Linked DNA regions of Danio rerio. The protein of the gene in region 4 purifies or fractionates together with the protein of the main gene of each other region. This does not show direct contact. Links are inferred from orthologs where the notes say so. Each region holds a gene or a part of one and is shown on either strand. Other genes may lie near its edges.

What was found.
Region 1: the proteins of exoc5 (region 4) and exoc2 fractionate together in Homo sapiens (co-fractionation; 4 studies listed by BioGRID and IntAct, with this or other methods). This does not show direct contact. The link is inferred for Danio rerio from reciprocal best matches to the Homo sapiens genes EXOC5 and EXOC2.
Region 2: the proteins of exoc5 (region 4) and exoc1 purify together in Homo sapiens (affinity purification with mass spectrometry; 4 studies listed by BioGRID and IntAct, counting the BioPlex papers as one, with this or other methods). This does not show direct contact. The link is inferred for Danio rerio from reciprocal best matches to the Homo sapiens genes EXOC5 and EXOC1.
Region 3: the proteins of exoc5 (region 4) and exoc7 fractionate together in Homo sapiens (co-fractionation; 4 studies listed by BioGRID and IntAct, with this or other methods). This does not show direct contact. The link is inferred for Danio rerio from reciprocal best matches to the Homo sapiens genes EXOC5 and EXOC7.

The regions. Positions count from the first base shown.
Region 1 is NC_133195.1:29,290,293-29,295,362, reverse strand, and holds part of exoc2 (exocyst complex component 2), read left to right. Parts: exon of another isoform or gene 1-302; intron 303-554; coding exon 555-671; intron 672-3,105; coding exon 3,106-3,247; intron 3,248-5,070. UniProt on the Homo sapiens protein: Component of the exocyst complex involved in the docking of exocytic vesicles with fusion sites on the plasma membrane.
Region 2 is NC_133195.1:28,537,913-28,542,982, forward strand, and holds part of exoc1 (exocyst complex component 1), read right to left. Parts: intron 2,105-5,070; coding exon 1,905-2,104; intron 186-1,904; coding exon 1-185.
Region 3 is NC_133187.1:48,857,219-48,862,976, forward strand, and holds the start of exoc7 (exocyst complex component 7), read left to right. Parts: upstream 1-2,297; 5' UTR 2,298-2,407; coding exon 2,408-2,467; intron 2,468-3,632; exon of another isoform or gene 3,633-3,684; coding exon 3,685-3,750; intron 3,751-4,890; coding exon 4,891-5,075; intron 5,076-5,758. UniProt on the Homo sapiens protein: Component of the exocyst complex involved in the docking of exocytic vesicles with fusion sites on the plasma membrane.
Region 4 is NC_133192.1:49,416,711-49,421,780, reverse strand, and holds part of exoc5 (exocyst complex component 5), read left to right. Parts: intron 1-1,579; coding exon 1,580-1,727; intron 1,728-4,034; coding exon 4,035-4,229; intron 4,230-5,070. UniProt on the Homo sapiens protein: Component of the exocyst complex involved in the docking of exocytic vesicles with fusion sites on the plasma membrane.

The DNA.
Region 1 (5,070 bases), on a different chromosome or scaffold from region 4:
AAAACGTTTATGAAAATTGTATTAAACTTTTAAACAACAATCATTCTTATTTGAGAACTATTTTGATCATTTTGTTTGATCCAGTTCAAATGTTGACTACTATATAGTATATTATTCATTATAAAACAATGGGGGGGGGAAATAAATAAATAAAGTACCACTTGAAAATTCTCAATTTCTCTGTATTTATTAAATATGGGTTTGAGTCAAATGCTAATATTTGTTTTATGCATTTAATGTTTAATAACCTTCCTTCCAAATTAACTTAAAAATATTGTCATTTAGATTTTTTTTCTTCTTCCAAAAATAAAAGTAGGGCAGAATAACAAATGTTTTCATTAACTGCGATCAAAGATCAGCGCTATTCCACCGAACATAGATTTCTTTTGTTGATTACTATTGTTTACTCTTCTGTAACAAAAAATACATTTGACTCAGATCCTATGATTAGAAGCTGGTAGTTTTCAGGTAGTCTCGTTCTTCCTCCCCCTTATTATTACCTTACTGTTAAATATGAATTGGTTTCTTATGTGTGTGGGTTTTATTTTCTGCAGGAACAGCGTCTTCTCATCATTCTCAGTAACTGTCAGTATCTGGAGAGACACACATTCCTCAATCTAGCAGAGCACCTGGAGAAGAATGGCTTCACCATGGCAGACAAGATCATTAGGGTACAAATACACTTTCCTGTTCCCTTTTTTACTTCAGTCCACAGTTTTAAGCACCTTAACAGATGTGTTTCTAAGTTCTGTTGCTGATGTTGTCTTTTACTGAAGTGAGAATGACTCACACAGTCTGAGGAGAAGCTCAAGGGTTTTTCGTGGTGGCATTACTACTCACTCAGTCGGCAGCCAAGAGGGTGAAGCCCTCGCAAAAGGTTATGGTTACCTTTCCAGTAAATGCAGATGGTTTTGATGAAGATCATAGAGAATGTAATGATGAGAAGACTTGCTGTGGCACATAGAAGAGCTTGATTACTCATAGAAGAGCTTTAGCGCTTGATCCCAAACTGACCTGCTTATAATAAAGTGATAGTTCACGCCAAAATTACGCTTACTCTGAAGTTACTTATCAAAGTCAACAGGCACTCTCAACTGTCAGCTTACCAACATTCTTCACAATATCTTCTTTTGTGTTCATTAATGAAATATTCTGTAAATACAAATGAGAAATACATTTTTTATTGATCATTTATCAGAAGTTGTCTCATTGCATTAAAGTATTTGCATACACCTCTTACTCTAAATGGTGATTCACTCTGAGACTCAGCTTAACTTTATTCAAATTAAAGTGATGCAGCAATTACCAATGGTAGTGCAGAATGCTACAGATGTATTCTACAGATTGATTGTCTATTAAAAACCAGCAGCTTATAGATTATTGTTAAATGTGCATAGTTTTGTGCTACAAGTATGTTAGAATCGTGCAGTTTAGATGGTTAGTTCACACAAATAATAAAACATCAGTCATTATTTGCTCACTCTGAGGTTGTTTCAATGCTGTGTGCCTGCCTTTTTATTTGTTTTCAGACCACAAAACACATATCAATTCAAACAAATATCCTGCGTGTGCTTTTAATGTTAATGAGAGTGGACTGAGCCAAACCATAAGGTCTTTTGAAAAACAATGCAAAAACGTATGTGCTTACAAAAAATTCTTTGTTTTTTTTCTTAAGTTTTTATGCAAGTCAGAAGTAAGTCTTTTCTTTAAATTCTCATGTCAAACCTTGAGTCTTTGCATTTAAGTATCGTATCCTCAGTCAACAAGGGCAAGTACAAGTCAAGCTGAACTTACACTGAGTGAGGAATCTGTGCCATATAGGGATCAGAATATTTATGCATAGTGGACATAAATGCAGCAAGCACTTAGCATACCCTAGTAACTGCAAAGCTGCACACTACAAAATAAAAACACTGATACCATTAAATAGAAGCATTCTGGCAGCCAGGCACAGCATATTATTTTTGCATGGGCAGGACCTTTTCAATGTTTCTGAATAATTTGGAAAAGAAGATTGAGATGTTGATATCTGGTCTTTTAATGAGATCCCAGAGGTTTGTCCCCTATTGAAATGGTGCTTTCCATTCTGGTTTTTTTGAAAACGTCCCTAAATCTTAGCACATGTCTAAATAATGGACATGCATGAGTGGTCTCTACTCATTCTGCAAGAAGAGTGCGAAGGGGGATGATTGTTTGTGATGTTAGTGATTATAGTTTTTCAAGTGTCATTTACAGGAAAGAGTCTTGTACAGTATGTAGGGCTGCATAATAATTTTTGTGCTTTTATTAATTAAGAGAACATTAAATCTTTGGAGGGTTTATTTTACCTCGTCTGTTTTCCAGATTTATTATATTGATCATACATTATACTTTGTCTACATCACAGGTGTCAAGCTCAGTTTCTGGAGGACAGCAGCTCTGCACAGTTTAGTTCCAGCCCTAATTAAACACACCTGATCATACTAATTAAATCCTTCAGGCTTGTTTGAAACCTACAGGTGAGTGTGTTGGAGCAGGGTTGGAACTAAACTCTGCAGGGCAGGTTTGACACCCCCTGGTCTATATTATGAAAACTGGTATAATTTTAAGTAGCCTCCTGCAAAAGCTGATACAGTTTCTAATAGTAATGCCAATAATTCCAAATTATATTCAAGTTTACTTATAATTGTAGCACAAAAATAGATGCATAAGCAAATTTATTTAGAGGATAGTCAAGATTAATGTTTGGATTTATGGCATTAATTACAGATGAACTATCTGCAAAAAGCACCAACGGCTTTGTGAAGTTACAAATACTGACTGTATATCACTGTAATTTGAGCAGAGGACTGCAGTGAAGACTGCTAAACTCTAGTGACCATCATTCATTCAGTTGGAAAGTAAATTCAGTAGGAAAAATTCAGTAGGAAAAGGTAAATAAAACTTGTGCTTATGCTTTTTAAAATCTCAAAGAAAGAAGATATTTTCAGAACAATTAAACAGAAGGTCAAAATTATGATTCTTAATCAAGACAAGCTGAAATACAGATCACAGTTACAGAATAGTTTTTTATATGATCTGTGAAAAGGGGCAATGGTTTGCGATTAATCTGAACATGTTCTTCAGGTCAGCATAGATGCGCTGAGACAGCTGGATTATGATCTGTTTGAGATGTACATCGAGAAGAAGTCTGATCCTATCGTCGGCTCTCTGGAAACCGGGATCTACGCAGGTTATTTTGACTGGAAAGACTGCCTGCTTCCTACAGGTATCGTGTTTTCTGGATGCTGACAGCACTCTGTGGATGTTTCTCGAAGTTTACATTTGCTATTTGAATGTTAAAAGTGCACCACCTTGAAGATGGTACTAATAGAGAAACATCCACACGTTAGCTGTTCTTGATTCTGCAGTTTCAGTGTGTTGTCATTGCTTTTGTGTCAGAGTTTCAGTCGTGGTTGTGTGCCTGTGTGTATATTTAGTTTTTGTGGTGCAGACTTGAATTCTATTGGCTGCTAAATCATTTGGGTATTGCAAGAGCGTTTCCTGCTTCTGAGTTGTTATATGAAGAACTTGGTGATCTGTGCAAAATCAACCATTTTTCTTTCACCACTGCTCATGTTTAGTTCTGATCACTGATCCGTTTGAAAAACATATTTATCTCCGAAATATAAAAATATAATGCACTGGCATGAACTAATGTCACCGCTGTTCATCAGAGTTTTTTAATATGGATGTATTTAACAAGAGATGGTAAATATGTTTATAATTCTACAAATGATGTCTATTTGAGATGATTTTAGTTCTTTTCAAGGTTATACCCTGAACAATGATGTATTACCACAAAAATATTGAGCATCGCACTTGTTTTAAAAATGTTAAATGATAAAAAAATTGGCAAGTATGCAATAAAATAATATTATAGACAGACTGACAGACAGACCCACTGGCCACTTTATTAAGTACACCTTACTAGTACCATGTTGGAGCCCCTTTTGCCTTCAGAACTGCCTTAATCCTTCGTGGCATAGATTCAATAATGTACTTGATATATTCCTCAGAGATTTTGGTCCATTTTGACATGATAGCACCACGCAGTTGCTGCAGTTTTGCCTTCTGCACATCTATGATATGAATCTCCAATTCCATCACATCCCAAAGGTGCTCTATTGGATTGAGATCTGGTGACTGTGAAGGCCATTTGAGTATAGTGAACGTTTTGTCATGTACAAGAAACCAGTGTAAAATGATTCGTGCTTTATGACATTTCGTATTATTCTGCTGGAAGTAGCCATCAGAAGATGAGTAAACTGTGGTCATAAAGGGACGGACATGGTCAGCAACAATACTCAGGTAGGCTGTGGCAGTGACACAATGCTCAATTGGTACTAATGGGTCCAAAGTGTCCCAAGAAAGTATCCTTACACCATTACACCACCAGCCTGAACCGTTGATACAAGGCAGGACGGATCCATGCTTTCATGTTGTTGATGCCAAATTATGACCCTACCATCTAATGCTGCAGCAGAAATCAAGACTCGTTAGGCAACGTTTTTCCAATCTTCTATTGTCCAATTTTGGTGAGCCTGTGCAAATGTAAGTTTCCTGTTCTTAACTGACAGGAGGGGCACCTAGTGTGGTCTTCTGCTGCTGTAGCCCACCTGCCTCAAGGTTGGACGCGTTGTGCATTTAGAGATGCTCTTCTGCATACCTCGGTAGTGACGAGAGGTTATTTAAGTTACTGTTGCCTTTCTATCAGCTCAAACCAGTCTGGCCATTCTCCTCTGACCTCTGGCATCAACAAGGCATTTGAGGCAACAGAACTGCTGCACACTGGATATTTTTCCCTTTTTCTGACAATTCTCTGTAAACCCTAGAGATGGTTGTGCGTGAAAATCCTAGTAGATCTGCAGTTTCTGAAATACTTAGACCAGCCCATCTAGCACCAACAACCATGACATGTTTAAAGAAATTTGTTTTAACAAGCAGTTGGACAGGTGTACATAATGAAGTGGATGGATGGATGGATTGACTTTTTTATGTAAGTGGTGAACGGTACACTTCCACTAAGCCTAGAACTCATCAGCCAGTGTC
Region 2 (5,070 bases), on a different chromosome or scaffold from region 4:
CTCTCCTCATCGCACAGGTGCTTGTCCACTTTCCTGTAGAGATTATCCAGGCCCTTTTTCACCTCCTTTCCAGGATATTCTTTAATAACCTTTCGCAGTTCCTGCTTATTGAAAGCCAGCTGGTAGCTCACTTCCTCCTCACGCACACCCTGAGCAACACGCGCCTCTACACCCTCAAAGAAATGCTGCAACATGGGAAGACAATTAGCCAATGTTCAGGACCCTTCTTTCACCATCCACATTTTCACATCTCAGGTAATAAAAAACTTTCACACTTGTAATATTAAAATAGGTCAGCATTGGACTCTGCTCTATAGCACTCTTATAGACACAGATTGACATTTTTCATATTCACAATAAACAACAGTTTGATCACTTTTGATCACTTTTGGACTTACTGAATACTTTAATGAATAAACTTTACATTTTGTGCCTTTAACCCTGCATTGCTGTCTGGTGTGATACAATGCAGGATGTTATGGCTAGAAGTTTAGCAATCACAGCTTAGCAAAAGCCAATCACGTCTGATATTCACATGCCTTAAATGGTCATAGAAACAATTTGCATTGTATCAAAAATGTCAAATGGCGAGGGAACTATCGAAAAGGAGACCTCTTAATACACTTAATACTCTTAATACTTTTTATAGTCTGAAAAGTCATTTTATAGTGGCCTGCAATATATAATGAGGTGGTCTTTTATGTTAAAAGGTTGCTTGCTTCATTTTCCAATCAGTAAAACTGATGCTACAAATATGTAAGTACATACACTTACCTCATGTTTAGGAATGTTCATTTTGAGACATCAAAAACGAAATTATCAGGATTAATAGTTAACCCAAACTCTGGTTAAATTATGACAGTTGTCATGTGAAAAAAAACACACTGGTTTGCCCTTGCCAGGATGAGGTAAGACTTTTAAGAGTGAATCCCACATAAACAAGGGATAGTTCACCCAAAAATAAAACTTTCTGTCCTCATTTACTTGTTCCAAACCCATTTGAGTTTTTTTTACTTGCGTTAAAGACAAAAAAAAGATATTGTGAGGAATGTAGGAAACATTTGCAAACAAACACAGCAATTTTGAGGCTCACCACAACATGACGGTTTTCCCCGCCCACCGGATTGACATTTGCCATGTCTCCACAATAACACGTATACACGTCTACAGAACATTTATTGCAAATAAACTGGGATTAAAATTTGTTTCAAGTCTCTATGAACAGCTGCACCTCAATAAATAATTTTATAAGTTTGAAACATTTTTTAAACAGAGCGTGTTTGTAATAAGGCTTAAATAAACTCCACCATAAATACATCAAATAAACTTAGTTGGTAATTTTAACTAGTGATCTTATTTCAGCTTCATCCGAGTCTGTCTCCATCACTGACAGCTGTTTAACTGACGTAAAGTGGAGCGGTGGGTCGGAAGAAGCAGCTCATTTGAATTCAAAGCCTCAGGCACCAAAGCCACTTAGACACCAAAATGGGCAGATTCTGGAGGCTATAATAATTAATCTGGAGGGTATTTTGAGCTAAAACTTTATAGACACAAAAGTCTTCTCTTACAAAAAGGGTAAAATAGGAGCCCTTTAAAGTTTTACAGTATATTATTTCACTGTCATACAATGGAAAACAATGGCTCAATAATACAGTGTGAAAAAACTCTCAAAAAAGTCAGTGGCTACAGATTTCCAAAATTCTTCAGAAATACTTTCTTTTCTTTTTAACAGAAAGAAGAAACTCAAACCGGGTTGCAAACACTCGAGGGTGCATAAATTAGATGATTTCTTTAATAAAAAATGTAAACGTTTATAATGCAAACATGTTTAAGTTTTCTAATTAAATTCTTGCGGTAGATAAAATACTGCTCATTCCAGATTGCGATAAAGATTTTTTCCTCACATTGAGTTTCTCTAGCGGTTGACCAAGTGAGTTGATGACGTAGGACTGCAGGTGTTCGGTGTATTTCTGCTTGGCCTCCTTTCTCTCTGCCTCCAGACAGGAGATCTTGAGGCTGGACAGTGTTGAGAAGATGTGGTGAAAGTTCTCCATCATCACCACATCGCGTGGAGTCTTCTGGCTCTCATTGGCCACTTTCTCCACTATTCAAAAACAAAACAGACAAATCAGATATGAAAGAAGACTGAAGAACTGCAACATTCAACATCTGAACCTGATTTTTAAAATTACAAAAGCACATAAACAATTACTAAAAGTCTTTACAAATTTAAACAAATAACTATATATAATATTTAATGTTTTCATTTTCCCATTATTTTTTAAAAGTAGCATATTAAAAGGACAATATATTATTTTCATCACTAGAGGGTGCATTTTCACAACAAACAAAGGCGTAGTTTTATGACACTGTGACTTTGTGTTGAATCATTGCAGCTGTTGTCTTCATTACATGGATAAGATAAAGTATCCAAAACTTATTATCATGGGATATGACGCAGAATAAGGCTAAAAGCAGTCAAAGGAAAACAAAAGCACTGAACTAATTGCTGATGTAAAACGAACATGATGCGGCACAAAAGAAGAGACGTTTTATTATGCCATAGTATACTGCGTCCAGTTCTTCTGGTTGTGATAATGTGGGGAAAAAGTAGTGCTGTTTTATCATACTAAATACCAAAGTTGGGTGTAACGCATTCCATAGTAGCACATTACTGTATTCAAATTACAATTTTGGGGAATGCATTAATGTAACGAATTACATTTTAAATTTGTGTTATTTAATTACAGTGATTAAACTCAATGGCACTGCATTAGGATACAAACACAGTCTTTAGAAGAAAAAAATGCTTCTTTTAAATCCGTTTTCTGCTGTAACATCTGTTAATAAGCATTCGCTTTTAAAAAGCTTGAGAAAGCAAATTGAAATGGCTGCTACATACTGCTTCAAGTGGAAATACAGACATTACTTTGATTTCATTGAGGCTAAAAACAAGTCTATGCCCAGAACTTTCCACTGCTTTTAATTCGACCAGCAACTTGTTCAAGCGCTTGAATAGAAACCATTCTATGACAATACTCGTCATCAAGGAACACACTGGACAACTCGGCCTAAACAAATTGAATTTTTGTGCAGGATCGGGAGTGAAGGCATCTTATGAATGTAAAGAGAAAACTAACTGCTTATGGGGCCGTTCACATATCGTGTTTTTTTCCAAGTTCATTTTTCCAATGGAAGCGGCGGATTGCGCACAAATATTCTGAGCATTTTTTCCAGGCGCACCAGATGAAAACCAAGAGTCACGCTACAAGAACTGACCGATCAGTCCTATGCTTTGTTTCATATATCCATTTTTCTAGTTTTCAGAAACAAAAAAAGACAAACATGTTCGAAACAAGTGAATGATGAGAGAATTTTAAGTTGAGTGAACTCTTAAAGTCTTTTGAATATGTCAAGCTTCTTTGATCAACCCACTGTAATGTTTTTCAGTGAATAATAAATTACTGAAAGAGCTGCAGTTTATTTTGGATTTTTATAGGTATATTTTATATGTTTTAAATGCAACTTCAAAGTAGAGCTGGGCGATATGGCAAAAAAAATTAGCACGATAATTTTTTTCATATCAGTCGATATCGATATTTATCTCAATAAATGTAAAATCTTTATATCTATCAATTATATAAGATTTTCAGCCTGCCAATGGCTTTGTGCAGCTGATTTAACACAATTAGTGAAATGTTTTAGCTGTCTGACAATATAAATAATAAACAAAATAACAATCTTAATTCAGCATTTACTTGTTCAAGTTTTCAACAACCAAAGACATTACCTACAAGTTATTGGATATTATTTTTCAACATCAGAAAAAAAAAAATATTTGGAACAACGTGAGTTAAAAGTCACATAATTTTCAGTTTTGGATTAACTCATTTTAATGGTGAATATGGTGAATTTAGGGTGAAATATACATTAATGTATTTTATTTAGGGATGCTAATGATTACTTGATCTATTGTCGATAAAGCTTTAATTGATAGACCTTATCGATGACTGATTAAGCATGAACATGTAAAGGTTTAGTTATGCTTTGCGCTGAGACGCATCCACGCATTACATCATCAAATGTGTGCAGTTTACCTTACTTATGCTGTCACTCTCTTGACATCCCATATTGCAGGTCGCATAAAACCTTGTTATGCGCATATCTCCGATATATCCGCGCGTATTTTAACCAAATTTGTCTGACAGACAAATTCTCATTTTACAAATCGTGCATCACAACGAAAACATGCGGGGAGCCAGCCGGGGAGCCTCTCCATTAACACAGCGAGCTTCTGAGCTCCATCCAAGTTTATTCTTCCGAGGTAACCCAAAAAATCTATCAGTGCTGCGAAAAGACTGTCCAGTTCATGCTGCTCAGACTGCGATTAGTTAATGAATTAAAATGAAACCGTGAAAATAGTTTGATGGATTGTTTTGGCGCTGAAGCATATAGCAGGCTTGTGTTAAAGCGCTTCAACTTAAATGTTATTCGTTCCTCTTGTTTATGCTGTAGATATGACCAACAAAATATACATCAAAATTAAGTTACACATTATACAAAACGAAATTCGTTACAAAAAGATATATTTCCTTGAAAATGTGTTTATATTTATTTAGTTCGTGCCCGCCTTAAACAACTGCGGGTGAATGATGCTTCGCTCGTTCAGTGAAAAAAATTTATTTAATTAATGATCCACTGCTGTTGTAAACGTCTGTCATATATTTGCTGCATTTATAAGCAAGCATCAAGTGTTCATTGAGATGTGATTGAGATTGTGTCGTCTGTCATGTCTTGCGTCTGTCCTCCCCCGTGGGGGGGGGGGGGGGGGGGGGGAGGGGGGTTCTCGTAGCACGGCTTTCGAAAACAATGAAATGAGACTCTGCTGGGTAGCTGCGCTGGTTTGCCAACACTTGTTAATGTCTGTAATTTCTTAGCATCTTTATAAGGGTGGTCTTGTTTTACATGGTGAAACAGGTCGTGGTGTTGCCTGCATTTGATGACACGAGTCATCTAAGCAGTTTGCGGTGCACGTTGCTCTGTTTTGTGTCGGATAGCGAAAACTAAGTA
Region 3 (5,758 bases), on a different chromosome or scaffold from region 4:
CAGAGTCACTCGCTACTTTCAAGAAACGACTAAAAACTCAACTATTTAGTCTCCACTACACTTCCTAATCTGTAATTGCCTCTTTGAATATCACACTAACTGTACCAAAAAAAAAAAAAAAAAAAAAAATACTAATACTACTTATACTTCCCTTCTTAGACTTTACAGACCTGAAACTTACCTACAGCACTTATTCATTGTTGCTCTTGGTTGTGTAAATTGCTTCCTTGTCCTCATTTGTAAGTCGCTTTGGATAAAAGCGTCTGCTAAATGACTAAATGTAAATGTAAAATGAAGTCACAATTATTCGCCCCACTTTTTATATTTTCCCCCAATTTCTGTTTGACGAGGAGATTATTTTTCCAACACATTTCTAATCATAATAGTTTTAATAACTCATTTCTAATAACTGATTTATTTTATCTTTGCCATGATGACAGTAAATAATATTAGACTAGATATTCTTCAAGACACTTCTAAACAGCTTAAAGTGACATTTAAAGGCTTAACTAGGTTAATTAGGTTAACTAGGCAAGTTAGGGTAATTAGGCAAGTTATTGTATAACAGTGGTTTGATCTGTGGAGACTATCAAAAAAATATATAGCTTAAAGGGTCTTATAATATTGTCCTTAAAATGGTGTTTAAAAAATTAATAACTGCTTTTATTCTAGCTGTCTAAAATACAGTATTGCAATATCAGATTTTTCCAATATCGTGCAGCCCTACTATAAATAAATACAATTTATATCTGATTGTGTATGAACTCATGTGGTCTTGAATATGTGAGTGTCTGTGAGTAACGTTGCTTTCTCTTTCAGGCGGTGGTGATTTTGGGTGTGGTGTTACAGGGAGCTAATCTGTACGGATATGTGCGCTGTAAAGTAGGAGCCCGAACAAACCTGAAGAACATGGCAACAAATTACTTCGGAAGGCAGTTTCTGAAACAGGTCTGTGACTTATTATTACAAGTCATCTTAAATATCTTCTTCAAATCATCCTAGTTTAATGAAAAAGTACGTGACGTTGTTTATGTTTATTGCAGGCTTTCACAAAACAAGAGGAGTCTTAAAAAGGAGCAGACCTTGAGAAATCACTCATCAGTGAACTTTTATTATGTTATTTTATAAAACAGACTGATATTAAGTGAGCTAAAAGGGTCACTTGGCTGAATTGTGGTTTTTTTTTTCCTTGTAGTGTAACAATCACAACCTGTTAACTAATTCTTTAACATTTATAGATATCTTTAACTTTATATTATGTTTTTTTTTAAATAATGAACTTAACAGAGTGTTTTGTTACTTAACGTTGCATGACACCATGCATTACGCTTCTGTTTTGTTGACAGATGTACATATTTATATACTGCTGTAAATTATTTTTGGAGGAAGGGGAGATTGTGTGCTTTATGAAAGTTTATGATTGTGTCATATTGAGTGAATGAAAAAATAAAGAGAGTGTCCTGACATTTTATCCTACTTGTCAGAATATGCTACCAACACTGTGTTTGAATGGTTCTGAGATTGGGGTTAGGGATTAGGTAGGTTAGGGTGATATTACAGCTTCATATGACACTGCTCCACATTAACATTTACACTTATAGCAAAATCTGATGGGTTGCATACTACCTACTTTTTGAATGGGAGGTAGGACAATCTGACAGCAGGAGCCTCCCTAAATCTCTGACCAGACAGTGAAGGTGAAGCAACTATCACACCATCAGGTTTTTTCATCAAAATAAGAGTCCCATGGATTTTGAAAGCACTCGTGATTAAAGCGTTGCTTGGTGCATGGTTAAAGGTGTATGCGTTCATGTGTTTTGATTTAGTGTATGTCTTTATTCAACTTTATTTTGTATATAATTTTGTTTGGTAAGGATATTATAAAAATTAAGATCTTATGAATACATATATTTAGTAGTCGTTAACTAAATATATCCCTAACAACTTCAGTCTCGAAGATTTTGAGAAACTTGAATTGATAATAAATTGTTATAATCGTAAAAAAATATGCATTTATAATATGTAATTTTACTGTGTATGTTACTACAATTTGGTAATATGTATAATATAAGTATATACAGTTGCGTTATAAATACTGTATATAAATTGAATATCACTATGTTTCTTGTCATTTTAGTAGTTATAAATTCCTGCCGCACTTCATTTAAGTACACTTTTTACCTTTTTGTCGTCATATATGTATTTCTTTTTAATAGTGAATATTGTTTTGCTTCTGTTTCATTTGATACACTTGGTTCAGAAAGGACTTTTATTTTGTACTTCACTGGCTTCCGTTTGTGTCGTGTTGTTTATCGCTGTCTTCGGGTTAATGTTGTAATATTATTGTGTATTTTACATTGGTCCGGACGGTCCAGTTGTATTTTCCATCGTGTTTCTGACCATCAGGATGATCCCAACCGAAGACGCGTCCGCCAGAAAGCGGGAGATTGAGGAGAAACTCAAACAGGTCTGTTAAACAGAGGAAAAACGGGAAGAATGAAGCATAACATGAGAATCCCGTGATCTGACAGTGTTATTTATGTCATTTGCGATTTAACTAGCGTCATATCTGCTTGTTTGCCTGTCACAAAGATTATTGAAAGCTGAATAATAGAGATAAAATAAGCTGTTGGGGCGTACAAAATGTGTTATTAAGCAAGACACTGCAGGTGAAAAGAGTAGGGAAATCAACACCCAGCTGATTGATAACATTAAGAGTTGCAAACATTTTTCGATTACAAGTTTTTTTGTGTCATATAAATGAGTAATTAATTAAATAATGACGTAATTTGCATACATCTCAAGCATACAAAATGTAAACAGTAATTTTGTACAAACATAAAAGCTTGTTCTTAAAAAATTGTTTTGAAAAGGAATTTTTTTGGTGGGACAGGTACTAAATTCCCAAGGTTACTTAATGAATTTTTATCACATTTTAATTTTCCTGTGTCCTAAATAGAATTTGCAATGGTCTTTGCTGCTATTCCCCTATGTATTGTTTCACTCTGTGAAGGTTACTCATATTCAGGAAATATCTCTGTTACACCCTAAAGATACACTATGTGGGAAAATTTGTTTTTCTTCTCACCAAAATAAGGCCATACGTTCATTATTTCATTCACTCATAAATAGTAAACCCTAGATAATTTCTCATTGGTCTGCGTTCATCAGAGATTTAAATTGGAAAAAATTATGGTCGTTGCCTAACAAATTATTTATTACAAACAAATTTAAAGAGGTCTCATTTAAAATTCTGAATATATTTTACCCTGTCAAACATTTTCTTTCAATGTTTAGACATAATATAGATCAAAACTGTTCAGTTTGTTTATCACAGCCAGAAACTGTGCCGCAGATGTTTTGGAATTGCCAGTTATCGAAGAAAATAGGGTACGAGATAAATGACCAATTTCATAAATGACAAATTATTGACAAATTTCCGTTTAGAATAGCAACATATTATATTTGGGTTTTTGAACTACAACAAAAAAAAAATAGAGAAGAAAACTTATGTTAATAATTTCTTGATAATATTTAGAAAGTACCATATTCACAGATGCAAATTTCATAACCAAAAACCATTTTATCCTGCTATATGAATTTAACTAAAACACTATACAAACAACATAAAGCACTAATAAAAAACACATGTCTTGACCTGTTCATTGTATCTATCATCTACAGGAGCAAGAAACGCTTTCTTTTATCCGTGAAAGCCTGGAGAAGAGTGATCAGCTCACTAAAGGAATGGTGAGAGATTTATATTTATATGAGTGATATCACACTCATAGCAGTGTGATATGGCTGTATATTGGCACTGGTAGGAGGCGTGTGTTGGCTCAAGGCCGCAGACAGAGTATCTTAATGTCACATGATATACAGCCATACCACACTGCTATGAGTGTGATATTGCATTTATACAACAGTTCAACCGCATAATTGTGTATATAACAAAAGAGAATTCGACATGGAGAGTTTCAAAAATCCTTTTGTATGAGGAACTACTTTCTTCCGCCGTTTATTCACATCTGCAGCTGACGTCAGAACAGTAGAAACCGCTGCTCATTCACCAACGTCACTTTAGAGCTAGTGTTTGAGTGATTCTCTTGCGTAATGTCTAAAGTGATGACAAAACAGCTGATTTTGCACACATTTTAAGATTATAAAGCTGAACGGCATGAAATGCCATCAGTCTACAAAGATATCTCCCAGTATTTCTCTATTGCAATTGGGAGATCACTGTAATTAACCCCGAAAAAACCAAAGCAAAGCAAACACTACCAGATTACTATGGTATAAATAGAGCAATACAACAAACAAAAGAGAGATTGACTTAGAAAGTCACTTGGCTGTTCTGTAAAGATTTGTTTAGCTTTAGTTTGAAATATATGCTAACACCTAAGGGCTAATTATTAGGTCTATTTATTAGGGTAAAAGGAACGTCAACCGTCTTTGCTCTGCTCAGTATGACAGGCTGATGACTGCCAACGTGTTGAATCTGCATGCTCTTAAATTCAAAATATTTAAATAGGCACTATCCTTATAAATAAACTGCATAGTTGCAATCACAACAACTACATTCTCGCCTAAAAAGGCTCAAAAGTACATTATGTTGTCCAACAGCTGCAGTATTTGTCAAACTGTTGTCCTCCTTGCCACTCGTGCCACTACTCAGCCAATCAGATTGAAGAACCAGAAAGAACTGTTGTATAAATGTGAATAACACTAGTGTGTCATTCTGGTTCGATCATGTAAAGTCAGTGCTCAGCAGTGTTGTACAGTGATATTTGTTTTACAAGTAGCTTTTTTCCTAATATATCCATTGTAAGTATTATTTTGTGGTTGGTATTTGTGAATGAAATGGTGAACGTGTGTTTTAATTTGTTTAAGGTGTCCATCCTGTCGTCATTTGAGAGTCGTCTGATGCAGCTGGAAAACTCCATCATCCCGGTTCACAAGCAGACGGAGAATCTGCAGCGGCTGCAGGAGAATGTGGATAAAACACTGTCCAACATGGATCACGTCATCAGCTACTATCACGTGGCCAAAGACACTGACAAGATCATCCGGGAAGGGTTAGTGATCACCTATTCAATGGTTTATTATTATTATTATTATTCATTCATTTTCTTTTCGGCTTAGTCCCTTTATTAATCGGGGTCGCCACAGCGGAATGAACCGCCAATTTGTCCACGCATGTTTTATCCATGTTTTACGCAGCGGATGCCCTTCAGCTGCAACCCATGTCTGCGAAACATCCATACACACTCATTCACACTCGTACACTACAGACAATTTAGCCTACCCAATTCACCTGTTTTAGACTGTGGGGGAAACCGGAGCACGCGAAGGAAACCCACGCGAAGGCAGGGAGTACATGCAAACTCCACACAGAAATGCCAACTGACCCACCCGAAGCTCGAACCAGCGACCTTCTTGCTGTGAGGCGACAGCACTACCTACTGCATCACTGATTATTATTATTATTATTAAAAGTTTTAATTTCACTTTTTGCTTGATTCTGATTGGCTGATGAACATTCTACAGCAGGGGTCACCAATCTCGCTCCTGGAGGGCCGGTGTCCCTGCAGGGTTTAGCTCCAACTTGCCTCAACACACCTGCCTGGATGATTCAAGTATACCTAGTAAGACCTTGATTAGCTTGTTCAGGTGTGTTTGATTAGGGTTGGTGCTAAAATCTGCACAGTGTACAGACAAACGCACAGCTAAAGCAGTTCCGGCAGGTTTTGGGTTCATT
Region 4 (5,070 bases):
TAGTTTTTAAAAATAACTAGAAAACATTGCTTTAAAATTGTATTAACTAATACAGTGTCATAAAAATCAATTATAATGAATTTATTACAGTAAAAACATCAACAATCCCAATTATAACACTGAATAAACTAAGCTGCACATGCCTTTGCCTTGAGTTTTTTGACGATATCTTGTGCAATTTCCACCTTCCATCGAGTGACCGTATTTACATTAAAAAAATCAGAAACAAAACAGATTACAGAACAAACAGAAGGTTGCATTAAATTTAAAATGATGATCTCTGTTCAAAATATTTGCCCCGACCACCTCTCCATCATTCTCCCTCTCTTCTCAGATGGGACGGTGGGTCAAATCAAATGATAGCATGGGCCAAAAGACAAGTACTTATTAAAAATACTCCTAGCAACCAGTAAGAAAACTGTGACTCGAAAGTGGCTACAATTGGAACCCCCTACAAAATCTGAATGGTTGGATACCATATCTATTGTTCAAAATATGGAACGGATTACTTTTTCTTTAAAACTACAAATGGATAAATACCTGCAATATTGGGAGAAATGGATTGTACTTATGCCTTTACACAGTATAATCTGATTTATATATGTATTTGTTCATGTGACCTGTAAGGAAATATGTGACCTGTCAACCGTTCATTTAAGTTCTGGTGCTTTATTGTATTATTTACTTAATTTTATTTTTATTTTTTAACCTACTTTTTGTATCTCCTTAAAAGAAATAAAATTAAAGTATAAAAAAAAAAAGATAGCATGGGCCAACTTTGTTCTGCGGGCCCTACTTGGGGCATCTCTGCAGTATACTAATGTCTTGCAACATGTATAGTAAAATATTATCTACTATCATCATTGTAACAACTGAAGAAATGCATTTTGTAATTGGTTACTAAAACTGTTTAAAATTTTGAAAAAAGTGTACATTTTCTTAAAGAAAATCTGACTGTTTAAATCAATTAAATGTTTTTTGTATTGTCTCAAATTAATAATGTTACATTTTGCTCATCCTATTAATAGTGTGACCAAATCCATATAGTATTTAATAGTATTTTGTTTATCAAAGACTTTATTTAATGTGTCTTGTTTAAATATAATTATTTCTTAACAAAATCTTACTAAACCTTCCAAAACATTCTTCTTTTACATCATGAGTCTAAACCACAAAAAATGTTCCAAAAAAAATTGCACTGACCAACCAGATTTACTAAATCCCTTTTCACCCATGTTCATTAGTTACAAAGCAAACCTAAATGTTATGTTTAAGCCAACTTGTAAGGCTTATGGGACATGTATGTAATAATAAATGATAGTGGTAATATTGCATTCATGTACTTTGTGTCTGTTGGCACACTTTTACGTTTTAGAATATAGAAGTGTTGTGACACATAATTAGGTTTTTGCTGCAAATATGACATTGTAAATGGACTTCAGGGGAAAAAACGTAATGCCACAAATTGAACTGTAGGTTCATATTTGCTTTAAAGTGTTTAAAGTAATATAAATGCTTGTTAAGTCAGAAATTGTCTTTTGCTGCCTGCAGCTCTTTAATGTCAAATCTTTTGTTCCAGGTTGCTGGAAGAGTTTGTGAACCACATTGAGGAACTAAAACTGCTGGATGAAAGGATCCAGAGGAAAGTGGAGAAGTTAGAACAGCAGTGCCACCGTGAAGCCAAGGAGTTTGCTCACAAGGTTCAAGACCTTCAAAGGAGCAACCAAGTCAGTCGTCTTTACATTTGTTTGCATTTGTTTATTTTTTAACCTGTCAATAGGTGTTTGAGTAACTATGTGTTACGTTATCATGAATGACGTTAAGGCCTAATTCAGATTTATACCTCTACGCCTTCCCCTTGGCCCTTAAAATAGAATGTAAAAGGGTTGGGATGAAAATATTCCCCTAATGGTTCGTTTCCACTGAGTGGTACAGTATGGTATGGGACCAGTCATCTTAATTAGGCTTGCATATCCACTGCCAAAAGGGTACCAATACCAATTTGGTGGGTATGGTGTAAGACAGAAAGTTTCAATGTCATTCTCGCTCTAGGAGATTTCAAACTAAAGCTGTACGGGTCATTCACATATCATACAAGAAACACATCTCACAAAACAGATGCTTTATACAGATAAATACTTGTGTAGAAATGTTCATTACTTAACCTTAATATGAATATGATTTGATTATAACTGCATATCAATGATAAGGCAAAATAGCCTACTTTAATGTCTGCAATTATTAAAAAAAATTTAAATAAATGCAACATATTTGAACACATACAGCCACTTATAATCTCTGATACAGTATATTACCAAATACAGAAAAGCTACACACAATTGTTTAGTCCTCATTTGGGTTCAAAAACAACACACAACATACAGCCCACAGTCAGTGCAAACCTCTCATCTGTATCTTTATTCTTTACCAGCACATTTAATTTCGTCATTTCCAGTTCATAATAGTCCAAAAGCCGATGATAATAGTTAAACATGGCAGTTTGTTTATGTTTTAGTTCGCTGAAAGAAGCATTTGCTTCTTTGTATTTTTTTCTGGCTTCTCCTGTTTTTTCGCACATCACTCTTACGTTTGTCTGTTCCTGAAAGGATTGGGTGTCAGAAGCACTTTAATAATCGAGAAAGCAAAACCGATCGCATTTTAGACGGCCTTGTAAACGACCACAGGGCAAAGGGTGGATTCTGCTCTTTTAGCTATGTCGCTGTTTATCAAGATGATGACAAGGTTTGTTTGAGCTCGGGTCAACCATGGCTCATGATTATATGTATTTTATTATTACGGTGTATTATCTCAGCTGTGTATTTAAAAATTTTGTTTCCTTTGTTTTCATTCTTCTGCTTGTCCACGAGGTAGTGCACGTCTTGTTCCTCCTACTGGATCCTTTTGTTGTGCTAGGTACCCTTCTGAAAAAATACCCAAAAAGTGGTACGGTTTGCTTTTAGGTACCTTTTGACTGTGGAAATAGTGTACCGTACCACACCACTGAGTGGAAATGGGCCATACAAAATGGGACACGACTATTACTACTACTATTACTACACACACATGTATGTCTTCACTAGCTCATACATCACATGAGCTATTGTCTGCAGTAGTCATTTTAGAAGTGTAAGCACAGTAATGTTTAAGAGATGACTTTCTTAAAAGTTTTTTGCATTGTGTTTGGAAGTAAGCTGTTCATTTTCAGCTCTAAAGTGTATGAGCCTCAGGGTTACTTCAGGCTTTCCTGTTACTTGGGTCGTGTTGGAAGAAGCACAAAACTGTATTGTGTGTATTGTCACAGTGCTCGTATGGATCTAACCACAAAAAAAAACCAACATTAATGTTGTACCGTACATGCTGTAGAAAAGCTAATTTCCTGCCACCAGACTTTTCTGGGCAGCCATGGTCTAATGGTTAGAGAGTTGGACTTGCGATTCAAAAGTCGCAGGTTCAAGTCCCGGTACCAGCAGGGATTGTTGGTGTTAAACTCCACCTCAATACCATGGTTGAGGGGATTCCCTTTGAGCAAGGCACCGAACCCCCAACTGCTCCCCTGGTATGTGTTTATGGGTGTAAGTCGCTTTGGATAAAAGCATCTGCTAAATGCATTTTAAAATTGCAACAGTTATTAAAAGAGTCGATCCCTTTTTAATTTTGTTGTTTTTTTTTTTTTTTTACATAAGATCATGACCGTAGCACATTAACACCATTATGACTGTATATGTTGTGTGTCAGATACTTGTTTGCAGTAAAAATAACTTGACATTTTGAAAATTTCTTTTTACATTTATTGGTCTCCTTGCTCTCTTTTCCAGCATGTTTTTCTGGTGTAGCTTGTAATGCGGTTCTGAGAAATCTCAATTTGCAGGGCTATATATCACATACCCCTACCCCTATACATCCAAGCAAAAGAGATATTTGGACACTCCTTCAAGTGAACGTGTGTATTGAGGTGTAGGGGAAAGTGAAAGGGCTAAAGGTAAATGTGTCTGTACATGTACACTGTATAACCTCCACTTTCTTGTGATTCAAAGGTAGCCTTCCAGCACTTCCAGGAGTTGGATGAGCATATCAGCTATGTGGCTACTAAGGTGTGCCATCTGGGAGATCAGCTAGAAGGAGTCAATACCCCGAGACAGAGGGCAGTGGAGGCTCAGAGACTTATGACATACTTTAACGAGTTCCTGGATGGAGAGCTGCGCAGTGATGTATTCAACAATCCTGAAAAGGTCAGATTCAGACAGACTGCCTAGTTTTACTATATCAAACAAGAAACACATTCAAAAAAACCTTTTTTGTTAAAAAAAAAGTGTTGCAGTCAGTTTAATTTCAAAAACGGGGGCAAGGACACAATGTTAAACATTCTATTCTGTACTAACTATTTGCATGATTAAGGTTAAAATCTTTAAATGAAACTCTGTATATCATGAATATATATTTACAGAGACCTCTGATGTATTGATTAAGAGATTGAAGATAATGTGTCATATTGCTAATGCTTTACCTGATAGATTTGCTGACAGATGATGCTGACACCTATGTGCATACATATTTAACATTCAGCAAATTGTGAAAAAATGACTTGTTAGTGGCTGTTTAGCATGAATGTTTGTGATGGTGCATTTGAGGCCTGTTGTAGCATAATTTATGCATTATAATAATATATAATTGAAAACAACACTGCAACTATTGAATACTTTTAGAAAGAGTTTACAATTGACTAGGTATGATCTGCCTTAAGCCTCATTCAAACTACCAGCAACATGCAGTGAAAAAGCAGCTACCATTCATTTCAGTGGACAGCTAGTGACTCCTGGCGATCTCCAGCTGCATACGCTATAGCATCTGTTGGCAACACAACGTTGAGAATCTCTTAATTTTATGCAAATGAAGAGCGACTTTCTTGAGCAACAGCTAATACAGTAGGAGCAATCACTAGATCTGCAAATAAATAGGCGAAATTACAGAGCACCTGTTTTTTGCTCACATTTGTAATTGAACATTTTATGTAGTAATTCCATTCATATTTAGTGCTTTCCCATCCACAATTTTTATTTTTAGCATCAAGAA